Xenopus tropicalis: one gene and its partners. The protein of the gene in region 3 interacts with the protein of the main gene of each other region in a pairwise test. Links are inferred from orthologs where the notes say so. Each region holds a gene or a part of one and is shown on either strand. Other genes may lie near its edges.

What was found.
Region 1: the proteins of pacsin1 (region 3) and cobll1 interact in binary tests that used the Homo sapiens proteins (3 or more experiments, as listed by UniProt). The link is inferred for Xenopus tropicalis from reciprocal best matches to the Homo sapiens genes PACSIN1 and COBLL1.
Region 2: the proteins of pacsin1 (region 3) and ankrd24 interact in a two-hybrid assay, tested with the Homo sapiens proteins (2 studies listed by BioGRID and IntAct). The link is inferred for Xenopus tropicalis from reciprocal best matches to the Homo sapiens genes PACSIN1 and ANKRD24.
Region 4: the proteins of pacsin1 (region 3) and cobl interact in binary tests that used the Homo sapiens proteins (3 or more experiments, as listed by UniProt). The link is inferred for Xenopus tropicalis from reciprocal best matches to the Homo sapiens genes PACSIN1 and COBL.
Region 5: the proteins of pacsin1 (region 3) and jade2 interact in a two-hybrid assay, tested with the Homo sapiens proteins (2 studies listed by BioGRID and IntAct). The link is inferred for Xenopus tropicalis from reciprocal best matches to the Homo sapiens genes PACSIN1 and JADE2.
Region 6: the proteins of pacsin1 (region 3) and ehbp1 interact in a two-hybrid assay, tested with the Homo sapiens proteins (2 studies listed by BioGRID and IntAct). The link is inferred for Xenopus tropicalis from reciprocal best matches to the Homo sapiens genes PACSIN1 and EHBP1.

Annotation. Positions count from the first base shown.
Region 1 is NC_030685.2:70,751,680-70,755,179, forward strand, and holds part of cobll1 (cordon-bleu protein-like 1), read left to right. Parts: intron 1-2,340; coding exon 2,341-2,496; intron 2,497-3,500.
Region 2 is NC_030677.2:94,059,185-94,062,684, forward strand, and holds part of ankrd24 (ankyrin repeat domain-containing protein 24), read left to right. Parts: intron 1-138; coding exon 139-315; intron 316-1,679; coding exon 1,680-1,734; intron 1,735-2,975; coding exon 2,976-3,058; intron 3,059-3,145; coding exon 3,146-3,500. UniProt on the Homo sapiens protein: Component of the stereocilia rootlet in hair cells of inner ear.
Region 3 is NC_030678.2:69,277,115-69,280,318, reverse strand, and holds the end of pacsin1 (protein kinase C and casein kinase substrate in neurons protein 1), read left to right. Parts: intron 1-2,147; coding exon 2,148-2,257; 3' UTR 2,258-2,704; downstream 2,705-3,204. UniProt on the Homo sapiens protein: Plays a role in the reorganization of the microtubule cytoskeleton via its interaction with MAPT; this decreases microtubule stability and inhibits MAPT-induced microtubule polymerization.
Region 4 is NC_030682.2:60,310,254-60,313,753, forward strand, and holds part of cobl (protein cordon-bleu), read right to left. Parts: intron 3,472-3,500; coding exon 3,223-3,471; coding exon of another isoform or gene 3,214-3,222; exon of another isoform or gene 3,133-3,213; intron 1-3,132.
Region 5 is NC_030679.2:26,415,334-26,419,430, reverse strand, and holds the start of jade2 (protein Jade-2), read left to right. Parts: upstream 1-1,297; 5' UTR 1,298-3,677; intron 3,678-4,097. UniProt on the Homo sapiens protein: Scaffold subunit of some HBO1 complexes, which have a histone H4 acetyltransferase activity. Acts as an E3 ubiquitin-protein ligase mediating the ubiquitination and subsequent proteasomal degradation of target protein histone demethylase KDM1A.
Region 6 is NC_030681.2:33,085,162-33,088,661, reverse strand, and holds part of ehbp1 (EH domain-binding protein 1), read left to right. Parts: intron 1-1,070; coding exon 1,071-1,193; intron 1,194-1,981; coding exon 1,982-2,228; intron 2,229-3,500. UniProt on the Homo sapiens protein: May play a role in actin reorganization. Links clathrin-mediated endocytosis to the actin cytoskeleton. May act as Rab effector protein and play a role in vesicle trafficking.

The DNA of each region.
Region 1 (3,500 bases), on a different chromosome or scaffold from region 3:
AGTAGGGCATAAATCCCTTAAATCGCTGTAATTTCTCCAAATGACCTACAGGGTGAGCTGTTGGACCACTATGTGAAATTTTGGCCCCTGTATATTCAAGGTTGGCCAGTGACCCGTTTATATGAGGAGCTGTCAATTCCTGTTTTGTACAAACAACTCCAGAAATCCAGTATTGGTTTTTTTGCTCCACAGAAAATATTTTTGCTGATATTGGGCTGACATCAATCATACTGTAAATTTCACCTTTTCAACTGATTTACGAGAGAGTTAAAGCATGGCATGGTAATTATTATATAGGTATAGGACCCGTTATCCAGAATGCTCGGGACCAAGGGTATTCTGGATAAGGGCTCTTTCCGTAATTTGGATCTCCATACCTTAAGTCTACTAAAAAATCAATAAAACATTAATTAAACCCAATAGGATTGTTTTGCATCCAATAAGGATTATTTACATCTTAGTTGGGATCAATTACAATTACTGTTTTATTATTACAGAGAAAAAGGAAATCAGTTTTAAAATTATGAATTATTTAATTAAAATGGAGTCTATGGGAGAGCTTTCTGGATAATGGGTTTCCGGATAAGGGATCCCATACCTGTAATATCTTTTGTTCATTTTGGTCATCCCCAAGTCTGCTTCAAAGAGAACATAGATTTGTATAACTCATTATTGAAACTATGGAGGAGAGAAATTAAAGTCCGAACCCCTAGTAACACCAATTATATTTCTTAATAGGTCACTACCTGTGTTTAACTTTGTTTAGCCTGCTGTAGCACTATCCTGGTATAACTTTACTGAAGATATTTAAAGGGGAACTCCACCCAAATACAACTTAAGCTCTTTGAAAAGTAAGCTTTCAAGTTAAACATGTGCAGCCTTTTCCTGATATTTAATGTAATAATATGGTTTGGAGCAGTTCTCTAAGCCCCCTGTTCTCCTGCTGATCTGACTGACTACTTTTGAGACTCAAATAAAAAAAAAAAGTATGTAACAGTAGTCGACTGCTCTCAGCCTGCCTTCGGCCTGCTTTCTTCAAGTCCCACAATTCCCTGCACATGGGATGTCGATAAGGAAAGGAACATCACAGTGCAATGCATTGTAGGTTATGTAGTTGCATGCTGTCTGTAAGCTGTGGAGAAGTTAGCAACAATTAGCAACATCAGTGTTTTAGTCCCTCCTCCCCTGCCAGGATTTCAAACGATGCAGAAAGAGAAGAACTGTTTTGCAGCTGGTTTTCAGCATATAAAAATGGTATTTGTTTATAATTCTTTAGCAAACAGTTTAGTGCTACGTATATTTGGGGTTTCAGTGTTGTGTGGGGCTCTTTAACAAATTTTGGGTCAGAGTTCCTCTTAATGGGGCAAATAACTCCATAATTTTCTCATCATGCAATAACATTGAGTGCTGAAGTTTGTCTTTCTTGCTCTAATATATCCTGACTCCATGTCCCAAGGCTCTTAAAAAGTCTACATAATCTTTTCAAGGATACTGTACGTGAACCCGCCAAAGTCTTAAGTGATATCACTGTCTCATACATAAGGATTCTTCGCTATTCTAGCCATTTAAAGAATAAGTATACCTATTAAACCCCCAATTTTTATCTGTACAATTTATCTGTATAGCCCCTAGAATAACATACCTTTCTACCTGTTTGTAGGTTCTTTTTTATGTCCTTCTATTACAAGCAGCTGAACAGCAGTTCTTTTAGTTACTTCCTTGTCTAGCGTGAAGCTCCTCCCCTTTAACTTTCGAAGCCCTCCTTCTCTCTCTAACTGTGATGACCTCAAAGAGGTGCCTAATGCGTGTGCCTGATTGATTTTAATTGGAGCAGAGGCCGTGAGCATGCCCAGTAGGGCAAGTAAGTAACCAAAATAACTGCAGTTCAGCTGCTTGTAATAGAGAAGCAAAATAAACCTGCATGTATTTTATTCTGGGGGCTGTACAGAGTAATTTTTGAACCTTATGGCACAAGGAGAAATATATCAGCACTTTATGTTCAATGTTTGCTGGAACCTAAACAGTTAATGCCTGAGACCTGGTGTTAATTTAGTAGGCATTATCTTTTTCTTTCTTCGAGTAATGATCTCGAGGGTGCGGCCTTGGTCCAGTTAGAGAGATTCACTTGTAAGCGCCTATATCCCAGTGAGAACAAAATAAAGCCGACGAAAATGAACTCCTTTTTTAATTTTGTTTAATGTTTCTGTTTTTTTACATAAACATTTTGATAACAATATTTGTTATATGTGAAAATTAATGTTGATGTACTTGTTTTTGTTACCCGTAATCACTTTGTTTAACCTTAACAAGACTTATTATGTGAGTCGTTTTCTATTCTAGACACTAACCCCTGAAATAAAATACAGAGTGCATAGCCCGCCACCAGTTGCAGAGAAAAAGACTACTGTATCTTTTGACACTTCTGACCCAGAACTCATCCGGCAGAATTTACTGGCTGCCATTCGCTCTGGAGAAGCTGCCGCTAACTTGAAAAGGGTGAGTGGCCACCAATGAGGGCCTGCAAAATGTCTCAAAGGCTGAGATTTCACAAGCCATATTGGAGCTGCCATATTGCTTGTCTCAACAGAAATAAGAACAGATTGTAGCTGACAACAGTAAGCATAAATGGTTGTTTTTGAAAATCAAGCGTCTAGAGCACTGATAGATTTGTCAAAGCAAGCAAACTAATGCTCACATTGATTATCATTTATTATCAAGTGCAGAGAAGATATGATATCTTCACACAATACGCTATAAATGTATTAGCCCAGACTCTAATCACATAACAGTCCTAATATTTGTATGTCCCATATATAGTAACCATTATATAACTACTAAGATGACCAGCTATGAACCATTATTAGAAAAAAGTTGGTTGAAGTTCTTGAAGTGGGAGATTGAGTTTTAGACAATATGTATAGCAATAGGGAAGTTTTTATAGGTATATTTAAAAGTTCTCTCCAAGAATATGTCCATCTAGTAGAGAACTTGGGTGGTTATACATTGGCATTTGCCCATTTATTGACTTCCCCACAGCCTGAAGGTCACATTCTTTGTTAAAGCATTTAACCAGTGGCCAAATGAGTCGATATGAATGGATGTGAGATGTAGCTTTAGCACTTCCCACTTCTACATGTATCGATTTGGTTTATTGGTCTTCTTCATGGAAATGCAGGAATGCCTTAGCCCCAGTTAGACCACCTTAATGGAAGGTGCCTTATAACACCCTCAGGCTATATAATGAGTGAGGTAAAACTTGTCTTGGGGGAAGCTTGGTGAAGAAAAAGGTGCTGCACATTCTACTGATGGACATGCTCATCAAAAACAAGGTACAGGTATGGGACCTGTTATCCAGAATGCTCAGAACCTGAGGTTTTCCAGATAAGGGATCTTTCTGTAATTTGGATCTCTATAAGTCTACAAAAAAATCACTTAACCATTAAATAAACCCAATAGGATTGTTTTGCCTCCAATAAGGGGTAATTATATCTTAGTTGGGA
Region 2 (3,500 bases), on a different chromosome or scaffold from region 3:
TAAAAATGTATTTTGGAGAGTCCTATGTGGCTTAAATTAGTAATTTTAGTTTGGCATTTGTAGCATTAATAGACATTTGTCAGTTTTTTTGGGGGCTCAGCACTTAAACAGTAACTGCTACATGATCCTTTGCTGCAGGATCCATGTACAGTACAGAATACTTCACCTGTCCAGGAAGAGATCATCTCTGATCAGAGTGAACTTACGGAAGCACTGAACTTTCAAGATATTATTGCATCTGATACCAATTGCCTACAGGAACATTATATTACCTTGGAACCTGATTCATACCAAGATCAAATAAAGTTTCAACAGGTCAGTTAAAGAAAGTTATACATTGAAAGCAGTTTCTTATGTATGTATGCATATATGTAAATGTTATTTAAATAGTGCTACTTATGTACACAGGGCTACATACCAGCAGAAAATATACCTGTGCAAAACAGGTCATCTTTCCTAAAGATTAGGGTCAATAAAAAGATTTCACTGTTGGGCCAAGTAATCTACTTACTGTATGACAACTTACCTGTCAGCTAGTCAAACAATTTAAGAGCTTCATAGGCATACTGAATGTTACTATACTATTTGACCATCTGATGTTATATGCTTTTTTATAGGATAATCTTTATTGCATATAAGCAAAGCATAAATGTTTTCTCCATATTTAAATTGTAAGTAATAAAAAGGTACATGCGTAAGAATAGACCCACCCCACCACAAACACAGGGAATATTTTGGGGCAATCCTGGCTACATAGATGTTGCTGTAACTAATATAAACTTATTTCACAGGTTTAAATTTGATAATGAGTAGGGCTACAGTGAGCCTTGAGGCATGTGATGTACCCTAAGCAGAAAAAGAATAGCAGGGTAGTTAACAGTAAACATCAGAGAAAGCAGCAGCAGAAAAAGAATAGCAGGGTAATTAACTGTAAACATCAGAGAAAGCAGCAACACTGATAAATTAGAATGGCATTTGCAATAAATTTTATTCTGTGTGTAAAATTTATTGATAGTGATGATATGTTTCGTACAATGTATTTATAGTATATAAATACCAATCTTCATTGTTCTTAAAGGAAAGAAAAGCAGCACCTGAACATATATCCTATTTCCTCCAACTTCCATGCTGAATATAACAATGTTTTTAATTCTTTCCATTTGATTGCCTACTTTGTTCATTCATTGGCTGATATAACTTAAGGTGGCCATACAGGGGCCGATTTCAGCTGCCGACTGACATCTGGCCTGAAATTGGGCAGCTCTCAGTTAGGAAGGTTCAATTTTCCCGTCGGATTCCGACAGCACCTATGCCTGCCTTTTTAATTCAATTTTTTGGCCCTAGGGCAAAACAATCGTATTAGCCCGATATAGCTCACCAGTATGCCGGCATATTGGGAGCAGATCCTCTTGCTTGGCGACCTTGCCAAACAAGCAGATCTTACAGTGTAGATGTATGTGTTTTTTAATGTGGAATTAGCCACATATTATAACAATAGTAATATAACAGTGCATTTTTTCATGAAAAGGCTTCATTTATATAAAACAGTATTTAACATATGTACTGTGATTTATTTTTGTAGAGACCATCAAGGGTGTAGTAACTTAAATGTGAACTATTTTTAATATTTCTACTTTCCAATCTGGGGAATATATTTTCACCCTTCTTTTTTCCCCTAGGATGTTACACAGTTAGCAGAGGATGATTCTGCTATACAAACAGATTTTGAAACAGGTATGCGCTCCTCTTACTGCAATTTAGCACCACATCTTACAATTTGAATATTATATATAAATAATAGGGGTATCTGTTCAATCCTTAATCTTTAAACACTGGAGGTGCTGTGAGTTCTCCCTTGAATACTCCCAAACCAATCATCAACAAGTAAAGACTCCACTAGGCTACACTTTTTGTACCTAATAAAAAGCACAAAACCTGCTGCCTTCAACTTCATTAAAGTAATGTAACAAAAGGGGCACACATTACTATAGGTCTAGAAACACAATGCAGTCAATCATAAGGTAGCATTTCTGGTAAAAAAAAAAAAAATCTAATAGGCTGCTTTGGGTTTCTAGACCTAAGTAAACTTTGTGCCTTTTATTATATTAACCTCAATGATTTATTAATCTAACAAAATCACAATTTGAAAATTCTTTACCAAACATTAAAATTTATAGGCATTCATTCAAATGACAAGTTCATTATTTATTCCCTTAATAAATCTCAGACAATATTTATATATGATATTATATTATAAAAAGCTATTAATACATCATATGTGACATTATATTACAACAAGCTGTGAATATAATTGCTGTGGTGTACATGTCAGAATTCTTTAACTCTTCAAGTGCCAACTTCTCAACAGGTAGAGAGGATTTTTGAAATATATCTTACTTGTTTTGAACCTCTTCCTGTCTGGGGTGGCAATACAAATGTCTTAGGTCTCAACTGTTTTAGTTCTCAGTTTTCTTTCAGGGTTCTTGTTTCTTGCTTTGGGATTTATGCAAGGCCCAATTCTTCATCAAGACCCTGAGTGCCTTTTTAATGGTTTGGAGGCCAGACATCTTTTGGGTCAGGTGGTTGATACATTACTTAAGGCTAGAATGAGTGTGGGAAAATTATTTGTTGCCATTTCAGTAGAGGGGTTGCTAGTAGTTTTTGGACTTCCTTTAGTCTGGAAAAGTTGCTAAAATATTGAAAAAGTTCATGTTGGGAGTTCACAGGGCTTAGAAACCTATGGTGAAAAGCATGCTTACATTTTCATCAACTGGCTTTGCAGTAGCTGGCTATACACCGAAAGACCCTCCCTTTTTCCTTGATGTGCCCGCCTTAAGGTGAGTGATATCAGATTTGGATCACATTGATGGGATGCAGGCTAATGAGGTGAGGACCATGTATGAGCCAATGCACCGGCAGGGATTTTACACCTGACTGAACAACATCTGCCTGAAATATCTTTGATCTTCATGCAGGATCCCTACAGGAAATAGACACCCTAAAGAAACAAATGCAGAAGCTGAGAGCAGAAAATCAGGAGTTAAAAGATAAAATACAGGCGAGTACATGATAAGCAAGGTGAACATTTTTGAAATTCTAACACTATGGACTGAATCTCAATAAATAACTAATTTTGTCCTTTCAGATACTTGAAAATTATGAGCGGGATGAAAGTGATATGGAAAATTCTTCAGACTTTATTCCACTCATCTTGTATGACTCCCTTCAGAGTCAATATATGCTTCTGCAAGAGCAGCTTAAAGAAACCCAGAATGAGCTGCATGGTTTGCAAAGTTCCACAGAGCAACTGTCCTCTCCCTCTTGCAAACTGATCCCTGCTGATGCTTATGAACAGCTCCGTATTGAGCATGAAGCTCTGAAACAATCCTTTAAGAAGCAACAGACCGCAAAGGGTCTAGAGCAGATTAAGAATGAGGAGGAACTGCAAAATATGGTGGAAGCTAGTAGGCTGCTACAGTGTGAGAAAAGATGTAAAGAAT
Region 3 (3,204 bases):
AGTAGGAGCAACAGGACTTTTCAGCTGGCATTCAGTGCATGCAGAGTAGAGATGGAGGCAATCGTCAGAAGTCCACAATTCGGCAGCACGCTCCAGATAGTAGAAAAGCTGCAACAGTTACAGTTTAAAATCATTCAGTCCTTATTAACACATCTATACAGCTTGAGGTCTAGCGCTTTTCATACCAGTGGACTAGTCCTTAATTGGGGGTTTTAGAAAGGAATAGAAAGGATGACCGTAGGACTTAGAGGATGTGATTTACAATCTAAGCTGTTACTTTCAGAAGTTAAGTGGATCTATAAATTTTGTACTAGGCAACCACAAGAACTAAATCGGACATTTGATAAAAGTTGCTACTTTTGAGAGTGGAAATGTTTTAACCAGTGGGCTGCAACAATGTATTTAGTTAAGTGTGTTTTAACATTCCTACAATACATTTTTGCTTAATACAATGTTTGATCCATTAATAGTATACTGAACAATGTTATTCTGATGAACCAGCACATTGGATAGGCTTGTGGAAGATATGTTTATTAATTCATTAATCAATTTATTAATTGTTGTATTTATTTAGACAAATTATGTGGTTATTTTATGGGAGGTTTTATGGGTATATATTTCCTGTGCTGACTAAGGGAAGGAGGTCTCTGAGGAAGTGTGCTAGCATAAAACATGTTAGACTTTGAGCTGTATAGATGTGCTTGCTAATAAAGACTGAACACTTTTAAACTTTAACTGTTGTGGTTTTTAAACTATCTCGGGTGCACTGCCAAATTGTGGATTTCTGACAATTGTGTCTCGCCCTGGCTACAGACTTGGGGCAGGAGCTGTATGGTAAGCAGATTATTTGTTCTATGTGAGAGCAGGGGATCTGACCCAGTGAGAGATCTAAAATTCAGATGCAGGGTCCAGGGCAAGTTGCACTCAAACCATAGAATTTAACCAGCGAGCTGCCCGGGGGAAGGCGGGATCCATAACTGCTGATATTGAATGGATGCCTGGAGTATATTGTAAACTAATTCCTAAATTTAGTGCCTTGAATTCATTGATTCAATCAGAGATGGAGGCAATGCCCTGTAGATTGATTTAGTGTATAACTATATGTGGAGATAAAATGGGTGGGAAAATATTTGAATGACATATTTTACATCAACTTCTGAAATTTCATAGAGCAGTACATATTTATTTGAGGACATGCTGACACACCCATTCGCAGTGAAAGCTCTATGCTGCCTAAACAATGACATCCAGACACCAAGAACTGAAAATATAGAACACCAAGAATTAAGAATACTTTAAATGTATGGGTAGGTTGGCCAGCCACTTTAATCGACTCATTCAAATATATATATAAAAAGAGGTCTCATATAGCTAGAAATAATTCCTAAAATAGTTCAAAAATATGTTAAATAGCCCCCAGCAGTTTAATGGAGAATGGAGTTGTTCATAAAGCAGATTTCAGCAGAAGCTAAAATACAGTCAGTTCAGGGAATGGAGTGAAAATGTCAGATGGACTATAGATGAGGTAATGGAAACCAAAACTGTTAAAACTGTTGTCAGTCTTTAAAAAGAAGCAGATCACACTTCAACATAGTTATAGATAGAGACAGGCGCATGTAGGCATACTTCTATGCAATCATCATTTGAGCCATTTAGTAGGTCAGTATTAGCAACAGAATGACTTGGGTGTTTCCCTGTACCATTCAAAACATTGCCAAACTTCTTTCTGTAAAGACATTCATCCATATCTTAGCCTTTAGTTCCCAGTCTGAAAGTGTTTCCATTAAACGTCCTTAGAAGTGATCAACATCTTGCCAGCCCTCTCTTCAGAAAAGCTAAGTTCTTCTCTCACCTCTGCCGTTTTGTGAGATATATAGCAGTTTGAAGACTTGGAATTGATTTATCTGATATTCAAACCATTATGAGACAATCCACCCATGCTAAAGCACTCAATTCTGCAGTTGGAAATTAATTCTAATGTAGATATCATTTATAACTTCTTATAAATTTAACATATAGGTAACATTTAAATTCTGTATATGACTGATTTCAGAAAAGTAGAAATTACAAATTATTTCTGCACAATGAAGGTTATTTTAAAAGGATATATTGTAATACCTGCTAATCTTTTCTTTTTTCTTTTTAAGGTGAGGAACTAACCAAACTAGAGGATGAAGACGAGCAGGGCTGGTGCAGAGGGCAACTGGACAGTGGGCGGCAGGGCCTCTATCCTGCCAATTATGTAGAGTCCATATAAAGGCACCTGGACACATTAATCAGACTATACATCATCCTTTAAGAAAACTTCCTTTTTCCCCCACTTATGCTACCAACCATACCTCGCAGTCCTGAACTGCAAAAATAGTACTAGTAGTGCTTAGATGGCAGTAAAGCATTATCCTGATATTTCCTGATTGCAATCATAATGGGTGTTTATCTTAACACAATTCCTGCTCTGTCACTTTGTTTTCTACACATATTGACATATTGCACACATCATGTTTTTAATGCATTATCTTTAATGTGACAGGATAAGGTAAGGGCAAGGGATCCTTGTTATATATTCTTATTTGAATATTTGTCCTTTGATACTCTTGACATATTTACACTCTCTGTATTGAGTGTCAGTGTCTACAAAAACTCCTTTTATAGGGTTTAATATTACTTCTTCATAGGGATACAAACAAGATCATTTCTGAGTAGCACTATGTATATCACTTATTTTACCACTTATATTTATTCAAACCAAACTGAATTGGGATAAATATCTAAGTAGCTATTGTGCTCTCATACTAGAAAATCTGCATTTCTGGTTAAAAAAGAGAAATTTGGCTCTTAAAATTACCAGGGGTAGCCATGTGACACCCCTAGTAACATGCCACTGGAGGCTAGTTTTTACTTTAAAGGAATAGTTCAGTGTAAATGGGTAAAACAGAGACTGCACAAAAAAAAAAGTATTTATAATATAGTTAGTTAGGCAGAAATGTAATCAATAAAGGCTGGAGTGAACAGATGTCTAACATAATAGCCAGAACATTACTTCCAGCTTTCAGCCCTCTAACCTCTTAGTCAGCGACTTTGTGGGGGCGGTACATGGGACATAACTGTTCAGTTAGTTTGTGAGCATGCAGAGAGCAATAAAGGAGGAAGTAGTATTCTGGCTATTATGTTAGACATCCATTCACTCCAGCCTTTATAGATTAC
Region 4 (3,500 bases), on a different chromosome or scaffold from region 3:
TGAATAACCAATGAACATTTGTCTTTTTATAAAAGTAGATCTAAATATTGAAAAAATAGTCATGCTTTTTAAGAGATTACGCTGGCAAAAAAACAATTTTCAGAGAAGATGTGTGTTTACTAGTAGTCTGGGAATTCAGTGGGCACATAATGTACTCTGCAAACTTGCAGTGTTGTACTTGCCTTGTGCTTGATACAGAAAAAGGGTAAAAGGACAAGGCTAAACAATATTTTGCTCTGGCTTCTGGAGGTGGGAAAAGGACCATCTGGGGTTGTAAATAAACTTGAGAACTACATTTTCACATGTAAACTGCAAACAGTGTCATTCAGTGACCCAGCTGGAATAGATATCGATGAAAAGAGGATTCCTTAACTCACAAGGGAATGAACAGAATTTTGTAACTCATGTTTATTGTTTCTATCTACTTTACTTGTATGCTTACCTAGCATTTAATGTGGACATATTGCACCAATTTACAAATTGATCCACATCATTTCATAGGGGGTAAATATAATGAAACAACAAAGTTGTGTACAATCTGCCTGGATGTGTGTTTTCCTGTATTTGCTGTGCAAATTTATTAGGAGACCAAAAGAAAAACTTCATATTTTAGAAATTAAGCTACGTCATTTTTATACAGGGAAAATAATTTAACTGATCTACGGAACAATCTAATGATATTTTACGTTTAGAAATTCTACAAAAAAGAATAATTGTGGCGCATCCAGAGAAATAGATAATTTTGCAAATAAATAACCTTTTATTTATCTTGTTCCCAGCCTGAATGCGACCTGCTTTAGAACACCTTAATTTAAGTTCCCCTGCACCAGTGAGCTCTAAGGCTGCTCCTGTGGTATCTATGTCCATTTTTTTTATTAATTGTCTTTTGTCTGGAGCTACGTCCCCCCCCCCCAAAGTACAGCAAATTTTTAATTATATAAAACAGGTCAATGTATTTAATAAGTTACTCTCTTAATATTTGCCAAAAAGGATTATTTACAATACATAGCTAATACAAAGGATATACTAAAAAAATGATAAATGAAAATATGCTTTGCCCTATATACAGTACCTAGGGCACCCACACCTACAGTAAATACTAGGTTTCTGCTACCAATGATTTATAACCTCATATTTGCCAATGGAGCCCAGAGCTCAGGTTCACAGTGCTCTGTCTGCCCTTTTTTGCAGTTTTTCTTAGGTCTTACAGTTCAATCCTTCTTTGAAGGGCTAACCTTTTTAATGGCCCCTATAGTTTCTTAACAAGGTAACAGGTATAATATAACATAGGTTTATCTGTCATTCAGTTATAATTTCAAGAACAGCAAATGAGTGTTTACCCCAAATCTTACCAGTATCTTATGACCCATTAAGGGATCTTCAATAGTGCTGGGACAGTTTGCCTGACTGGGCCATGGGTTATATCACATACCATGCTGTAACTGGTTGGGCTATACTCATGCTTTTATTATCATGGGCAATGTTTTAAGACTTGGGCAACTGGTTATAGCTGTAATGAGCGGGAACCCAGCTAAGTGCCAGAATAGCTTCCTTCATCTGAGAGTCTTACAGACTGCATGGTAATGACAGCTGAGGGTTGATTAGTATTGTAATGTTACTTAGTTTCATAGTTAATTTGTGTTGAAAAAAGAAAAACAAATCCATAAAGTTCAAATTCTCTAAATGAACCAAGTGCACACATGGAAGTGGAAGTACTATGTCAAATGCTTTTCTGTCACTCTTTGGATCTCTCTGTTACAATCTTGATGCATGTTACAGTGTGCATTTAACCTCTCAAGCGGTGTGGGGAACAGTTGCTTATCTTTACTCACACAATAATGCAGACATATACTATATATATATATATATATATATATATATATATATATATATATATATATATATATATTCCCTGACGAAAGTCCTAGGTAAGGACTGAAACGTTGGAAATAAATTTCACCGCTTGCATTTGAATAAGCCTTTATTGTTTTTTGTGCTTTGATGATCAAATCCTATGAGTGCCGACACTTTTGCTTGGCTAGAAGATTTCCCTGCTCTGGCACCGAGGTTTAGTACAATTATTTGGTGTGCTCCCCACTTTGGATTCTATATATATATATATATATATACAGTATGTATATATATATATATATATATATATATATATAGGCAAACAGAGTACCGCACACATAGGGACTTTATGAAAAAACAAAAAAGGTTTATTGAAAGAGATCCGACGTTTCGAGCACCAAACTGTGCTCTTCCTCAGGGACTGGTTTGTCCCTGAGGAAGAGCACAGTTTGGTGCTCGAAACGTCGGATCTCTTTCAATAAACCTTTTTTGTTTTTTCATAAAGTCCCTATGTGTGCGGTACTCTGTTTGCCTATTAAATTTTTTTGACCAGCACCGAGGGCACTTGTTTGCCTGAAGGGTGTGCTCCTTTCTGTTTCTGTATATATATATATATATATATATATATATATACAGTATATATTCTTGTTATATGTGATAGTACAGCACCCTGCAATAGAACAAAAACGTGGTGCACTTCCCCAACAGGTTCCGATGTCCTTACATATAATATTTTATATATATATGTCAGCAGGATAGCGGGAACTCCTGCTTGAAGTGGAAGTATATATATATATATATATATATATAAAATAGTCCATAGGGTGCATTTGCAGCAACAAAACCTGGGTGCCAGTACCAAAAAAAAATGCACTGGAACAAGGGCAGCAGTCCTAGGATTTAAAGAATTGTGATCAAAATGTAAATGTAAAAATAAAAGGTTTATTACTCTGCGTTTTGGTCTTGCATAGAAACCTTCACCTGGAGTGAAAAACACTCCAGATGAAGGTTTCTGTGTGAGACCGAAAAGTCGAGTAATAATAAACCTTTCTATTTTTACATTTACATTTTGCTCACAATTCTTTAAATCCTAGGACTGCTGCCCTTGTTCCAGTATATGTATGTATATATATATAGTTGCAAGATAAGTTTGCCAACCTTCTTGTAGGTGTAGACTGTTAATATCAGCTAAAAAAGCACATTTCTGTGGAGGCAACATAAAAAAGTATATATGTTTTATTCTCAAATCATTCAAATAATTTGAATTCCGCTAACCTTAAGGAAATAATTAAAAATTAAGTACTTTATTTGCTGTACTGCCAAATAAATTTACAGAGGATACAGAACATTCCGCATGTAGCATTACACTACCTTTTTGAGTCTTGCAGCACCAGCACCTGAGCGAATAGCTTCCATTAAGGCGTCCCTTGCATTTAGAGAGTTAGCTGTAGTGGTAGGAGACACCATAGCAGATGATTTTAGCACAGGTGGCGGCGGTGGTGGAGGAGGCATTAATGGTGGAGGTGGAATTGATTGCAGCACATTATGTTCCTTTTCTGCCTCTTTGACAGGCTCTGCATTTCTCACAGACTGAAGCTCATTTGATACAGTAGATGAAGTCTGAAGAAAAAAGTACATTAATAGAAGCA
Region 5 (4,097 bases), on a different chromosome or scaffold from region 3:
TGCGCATCTATTTAACCCTTAAGTAGCCTGATTTCCATATGCAAATTTGGAGTTGGATTTGGTTTGGTATTCAAAAATAATGGATTCGGTACATCCCTAACCAAAATACAGGATTTGGCCCAAATTCCCAGCACTCTTTTGAAGGATTCAGATAACACTAAGTCCTACTGTTTAGCTAAACTGAGTTAAAACCCACAAAACTTTACTGCTTTGGACAGCTAAACATGATACTTTTTTGTTCCTAGAAGATGCAATTTTTCAATTGTTTTTGTCAGATCTGAATATGCATGCAGATTAGAGTGTTGATATTCAACAGAATCTTTTGTAAAGGATTCAGCATTCGGACAAATAAAAAAATACTTGATTTGGGGCATACCTTAGATGCACTAAAGAACCAACCACAACAAAAAAAAAAAACTAAAAAAATGAATACCTTTCACGTATGTATAAAGCTGGGGACAACTAAACAACACAGATTAATAAAGCCTTGAAAAGAAACAAACTGGCACCTCCAATTTTAACATTATTTAGGGGTTATGTAATAAAAGGCACTAAGTTTGCCCAGGAACAGTAACCAATAGCAACCAATCAGCAGGTAGAATTTACTGGTCACCTGTTTCAAAGCAAACATCCTATTGGTTGCTATGGGTTACTGCTACTGGGCAAACATAGTGCCTTGTATTACATATGGGACATGTGATCTAAACCTTTTCTCAAGAAAACCACATAAGTTTTTATAGAATTAAACATTTTTATTCAATGAATTGTAATTACTATTAAAAGAGGACCATGAAGTCACAAAATTGTACAGGGACACTTTTGTGGGACCTGACCCATAGGTTAAGAGCTGCTGCTCCCACTCACTCTCTCTATAGTGAACAATGTAACACCTATTGTAAAATATGAAGTCCCCTAGGAGATCCATGACTATATAAAAGTCATGTAATTCCAAGGTAATTTCTAACATCCTCATATTTTACAACAGGGGGTACATTATTTATTATAATACACATGTTCCAGTGAGTCACATATCACATTACTAAGCACCAACTGATGACATCACCAAGCACCATATATAAGGATATAATTTACAGGATAATCACGGCTCTTGTGTATAAGATATATTTACTGTTTACATATTTAAAACAATGTATAACATCACCTTATTTAATGGAGTTTTATTAATACAATAGCATATGTCTTTTACATAAACTGGGGCTGTACAGTATGCTCATACTTAGTAGTCCCCTCAAGTACTGTTTACTGTAAACTAAACCTCCTAATACATATATATATATATATATGTATTTATATGTTTAACCACTTCTCATTGGCGTTCTCATTGGTACTTCATTGCCTGATTTGCAAAGGATTTGGGGTTCTGCCGGATCCCAAATAGTGGATTTGGTGCATCCCTATATATTTTTGCTGAATTTTTGTGTAATTGTTCATGTGTTATATAGGAATGAGAAGTATGAAGCCGCTTTACTAAGAATATATGCATAACACCATATGAGTAATGCCAAAAATATGTGATTGGCCTTTATGAACACAGACAAGGGCAGGGGACGCCTATGAAAAAGATTCGGTTTATAACATTATGTTGAACACGAAGTTCCCGACCAAATGGCTCCAGTTAAAAAGGATATTTTGTATGCGAGGTTTCCCAGCTTTGCCAGGTTATGCCTACATTACATTACGCTGGAGGCAGCATCCAGAGCTGATCGCTTGAGGGATATACCAACACGTAAGGGGTAGGCGACAAAGCGGGAAACGGAGGTTGTTTTCACAGAGCCATTTATAAGCGGAAAATTAAGTATATATGAAACGAAGAAACAAGTGCCCCAAGAACAAACCAATGTAAAGGTGGAGCCGCCTGAGCGTTTGCTGTTATTCCCCTCCCCGCGGCACATATCGCCCCGCCAGCAGCTCCTTCCTACTAGTCCCTCAGTGAGCGGCTCTCCCGGGGGAGGGGGCAGAGGAAACACCTGCAGATGTCACGTAACTATTCGAGCGCTGGCTGATCAGCGCCACATTATGAGCAATAAGCAGAGAAAGTTTCCCGGTGCCCTAAGTGCAGCTTATTATAAAGCACCGGCTCCTTACATTCGGGTCTATCCGCAATACCCACATTAATCCCCTCTAAGCATAAAGTGTACTGCTCATAAATAATTGCGCCAAATTCACCAACTCAGTAAATGAATGACAACCTTTTCGCACGTCGCTTTATTCCGTGCAGGAACAATAACTCCCACCTCAGCGGCGGGACATTTATACATTAGTTGGAGCGCTAAAGGCTGTCACTTGTCGAATTAAGGGCTGTCCCCTGAACGTGACTACAGATCTTTCCGCCTCCGGGCATCGTCACAAGCGCTAGCGACCTTATATATTTCTATAGCGCTTAGTCGCACCCCTCTCTGGGCGGCCATGCTATATACTGTTTTATAGCGCAGGAGCTGGGGCGTTAGGGGATAGAAATTCAGAGTTTTCCTTCCGTTCTCCTTTCACCTATCCCAATAAAACTCTCGAATCTCCAACCCACCCCGCCGCCTCTGACTTCTCTCGCACTTGCAAGGGGGTGTCCAGCCCCCAGTCCCTCCTCTGCCTCTTTCTCTCCTCCCTCGGACCCCCCTCCCCTTCGTATCCCAACCCCAAATCAACCTCCTGTTTTCAGAAACCTCTTTTGACGCAGGAGAAATGGCAAATTTGAAGTACGTCATTAACATGGCGCCAAAAGCTTTTTTCCTGTAAGGTTGCTCGCTGGTGGTGCCCAACGCCTGTGCCTGGAGAGGGCTCCGCGGAAAGAAGAGTTAGCGAAGGGGCAGCACAGGGGGGGCCGGGCAAGGGGGTGCAAGTGCAACTAATGAGCACAACTGGGATAAAGTGAAGGCAAAGCAGGGGAGGAGTGCTGTGCTGGGGGATAAGAAAGTGGGCTAGGAAGGGGGAGTGAAGCCGTACTTTGGAGGAGAAGGGGTGAAAAAGAAAAAGGGGAGGGGGGAATTGGAAGAAAAAAGTGTTTTGCTGGGGAGGGAGAATCATTGCGAAACCAACCTGATCTGACTTGTAGCGCAATCCGATACTGCAGCTTTTTTTTTTTTTTTTTCTCAAAAACGTAATTTAACTCTATCCTGTCACAAACACATGAAGGATTGTCAGCTCGAACCCCCAATCAGAGAGGGACCCAGGCAGCACCCCCTCCCCTACCTGCTCCTACAGGCACCCAAAGCCCTTCCAGCATGACACTGCCATAGGACTGAGCGGAAAGTAAAGCCTCGCAGCACCCACCCCCTTTACGAGGAGCCTAACAGGGCTGCGAGCATTCATATCAACACACACACGCATCTGGGGATGGCTACGGGGATCCTGTGCAGCAGCCCAGCGAGGAAGTGTGTGTGAGAGACACAGCGGCCATCTGATACGGGAGTGAGGAACGTCCATCTCACCGGGGGAGCTTTTATTTGTGCATGACAGCCATGGAGTTACTTTGTACCCACTCCTAGAGGGAGAAGGCTGGGGAGAGCGGCTCTGGATACACTCTGCAATGATACACCGCGCACTTTCTCTGGGAGGCTCATGCTCTTTTCTGGGTTTTTTCTCTTCCCCCCACCCCCGTTGGATCCTCCCCTATTTTAACCTGAGCTAATCTCACCAGTGAGGAGACCCCCAAGCAGAGCAAGGTAACAAGCGCAGATGCGTAACCATCTGAAGGGCTGGCGGGGTGCGCGTTTGGCTTTGCTGTCAATTTGCTTTTGGCAGTGGGAGGAGGAGGGCTGACACACACACATGTATCTATATATAAGTGTATTTCTAAAATGTGCAAAGGGAGTTGCCAGTGGGAGCTGGAAGGTTTGTGCTCCATTCGCACCAGTACAGGAGGAGGAAGGGGCCAATGTGCATCACTATTAGGCATTGCGCATGTTGGGGCAGTCATGTTCAGAGTTAGGGGGGCGGGCAGAATTACAAACAACAACTTTTAACCCCTTCAAGGGGCAAGTTTAGCCTCGATTCTCTTCTTCCTGCCTGGGGCGGGGGGATAATGAGGCTTGTTATTATCATGAAAGAAAACGAGCAAACGCCTCTTATTAATGACTGCGGCA
Region 6 (3,500 bases), on a different chromosome or scaffold from region 3:
GCTATGAGAGCAATACTAATAGGCGCTTTTATGGATCTGCTGTGAGACCAACATACACAGGCAGGCTGTGAGAGCAACTTTATAGCAACTCTAACATGTCTAGTGCTTGTAATGTTTTCATGTTGTACCCATAGCAATGCTTGCTAACATTGGCCTGCTCTTAAAGTACCCATAGTAACACAGATAGGACTAGTGCTGTTCTGCCAGGACACCCCTAGAAATGCCTGTCAGCACTGGGTATAGATTAGAAAGTATTATATACACTCTCTAAATATTTAAAGGGGCTAGAAGAGGCTATTTAGAAGTTTGTGTAGATACAAAAGCATGCCTTAGACTGGTGGTTCATTATCCTGTAAATCCAAATCAGAAATATTTAGTGGTGTCCTTAATCTGTATTCTCATATTTAAAGGTCCGCTTTAGCTGGATATTTTTGATTTACACATGAAATGAGGGAGAGGAGGTGGGCTAACAACATTCCTACAATTGAACATTCAATTGAATGTACAATTTTCCCTTGTGACCTCTATAACTGAATGTAGAACTAGAATGTACCATAAGTTCCACACTGCACAGAGGAATCTCCGCCACTTCAGAAGCAGCGCATATTTCCTCACAGATTGGCAGCACAGCATATTGTGCTTTGTTGTAAATTCACTCCACAAGACACCCCTTCCAGCACATGGTGACACCAGCCACACACAGTTCCGCATGTATTGTGTATGCAGCTTTCACCTTCTCTGCAGCAAAACTGTACACCTGTGTTTGTACTGTATGGTTTAAAGGTTGCCGGGCCATTGATTCTGCATGTGCCCTTCTATGTGGAAATGTGAGTTCGCTATTAAGTAATCATTGATTTTAGGCACCAGTTATGCCTAATGTGCTATGTTTTGTTTCTTTCAGTTTCTACGTGGGCATGATCTTTTCATTTCATTTGGTTAACTTTGCATTCACTGCAGAGCGCATATGTTTACATACACCTGTAGTGACGCCACAATGTGCCGATGCCCATGTTACACTATTCTTGTTGTTCCTTCTTGGGGATTTGAATGATGTCTTTGTTTGTTCTTAGAACTTATAAATAAGTTAAACTTTCTGGATGAAGAGGAACGCGATTTGATGAACTCAAGCTCCAACCCGTTTGAAAGCTCTGACGTGGCTGATTTTAATCCGTTTGGCGATCCTGACGCAGAAGGTAAAGACAGAATTTTGGAGATGCTTTTGTTTCTGACACATTTGTCCTGAGAATTTAGCTGATCAGAGTAAAATGAGCAACTTTTATCCATGTGTATCTTAATATTTAGTTATTTTGCAAGCAGTTTTATAGGAATTGGATTTAGCCATATAACTAATATTTACTGTGCAATTAGCCATGTCTGAAGTGCTGTGAAGTGCTAACCCTATGCATGACCCCCAGTATATCGGAACAGCACCTGAAATATTGAAATAATGCCTGTATCTTTTCAAAATCTGGGGGCCTTATTTTGTGGATTATAAATTTTCTGCATAGTATCCATTTAACCCGTTATCCAGAAAGCTCCAAATTGTGAAATGGCCATTTCACCTAGACCCCATTGTAATCAAATTATTTAACATTTTTTAAATGATTCCTTTTTCTATGTAATAATAAAACAGTACCTTGTGCTTGATCCCAGCTAAATACAATGTATCCTTATTGGAGGCAAAACAGTCCTTTGGGTTTAATTAATGTTTAAATGATTTAAATGATTTTTTAGCAGAAAAAGTATGGTGATCCAAATTACAGACCCCTTATCTAGAAAACCCCAGGTCCCGAGCCTTCTGGATAACAGGTCCCATACCTATAAAAGCATATTAGCATATAGCAATTTAATAGGTGTAATTCTGTTCACATTTGAATGCCTAGCTCTGCTTCTAGAGATTGCAAATTAGTTTTTTAATATGATCTTCTTTATTTAATGATTAACTTACCCCTTGAAATAATTTTGACTGTTTGTGTATTAGAAAATCCTTCTGAGCAAGCACCTTCAAAGTCTGACGACTTATTTGATGACTACAATCCTTTTAAAGAACCTGAGCCTGCAGTTTATATAAATCCTTTTGATGAGCCTGATACAGAGCAAGACCAGGTCCTTGAGCTTAGTAAGGACTCTCCACCTCAACCAGCAAAGAGAAAAAACACCCGCCCTGTGGATATGAGCAAGTACCTCTACGCTAACAAAGCTAGGCAAGAGGAGGAGGATCTTGATGAGTAAGTGGAATCAATATGTTTTAAAGTCTGCTAACAATTCTTGAAGGGCAAGTAGTACTCGAACTTTAGTTCCTCTAAACCAAAAGAGTTGTCTGCAAACATGTGACACATATATTAACTGTGTGTTTATTCTGAAAAGGAGAAAACATTTAGAATTATACTGTAACATGGTAAAAGTTTACCTAGCTTGATCAGGCAGATGGCCCAAATGAGCAGTTTTAGCAGAAAGTAACTAATGATCATTTGGTGAGTAAGTGGGAGGAGCTTCAGTTATTTTCTGAAACCAGGAGACTTATCATAAAATATTTCTCCTCCACCAAGCATGAAAGGATTCTATCATGGGAAAACAAAAGAGCAAACTACTGAAGACATGACAATTAAGAAACACTACTTTCCTTTATACATATGTATGTATGTATAACTTTATTTATAAAGCACCACAAGGGTATGCAGCGCTGTACAATCTTACAATATACAAAATTACACACAGGGAGGACAAGTGTTATAATAAATACAATAAATAATACACAGGGAGTAAGTGCCATGTGGTATGAGACACAGTAGGAAGGAGGTCCCTGCCCCGTACATATACATTTAATATACAGGTACCAGATCCTTGTTAGTTCTAATAAAAGCTTTTTCACACTCTTCATTGTAAATCTGAAAGTGATGCGGCTCTGGAACTCTGATTGGTCTGGCTGTCCTGTCCCTTGTACCAGTGGCAATTAATAACCTTGTAGCCTGTGACTTTGTCAGCTCTGTGTCTCTAGGCATAGCTCTTAATCTCCCTGTACCCAAGACACCAAATTTAGTCTATAAGCACTATGGGTCAGGGACTAAAAGTGGCCATACACTGGTCCTTTAGACTGATTTGGCAGCTTATCTGCCATTGTATGGGTACCCCCGATGGGCCACCCTGATCAGGTAGGTTTGATTTTCCTGTCAGGGCATTGATGCAATCCTTTCCCCTGATGGCTCCTACCCCTTCATTTTAATGTGATCATTTGGCCCTAGGGCCAAAAAATCAGATTAGCTTGATACCCCCCAACTTAGGTGAACGTATCAGGGAAAAGATCCACTCATTTGGCTACCTCGCCAAAGGAGCAGATCTTACAGTGTATGACCACCTTTACAGTGCATAAATAAATCTATTTATATCAACAGTCCTTTATGAGAATAAAGATTTAATATAACAGTCAAATTAATATAATGATAATATTATAAATATACATTTTGCTAAATCTTTATAGGATTTCCTTATTAAATAAAGGA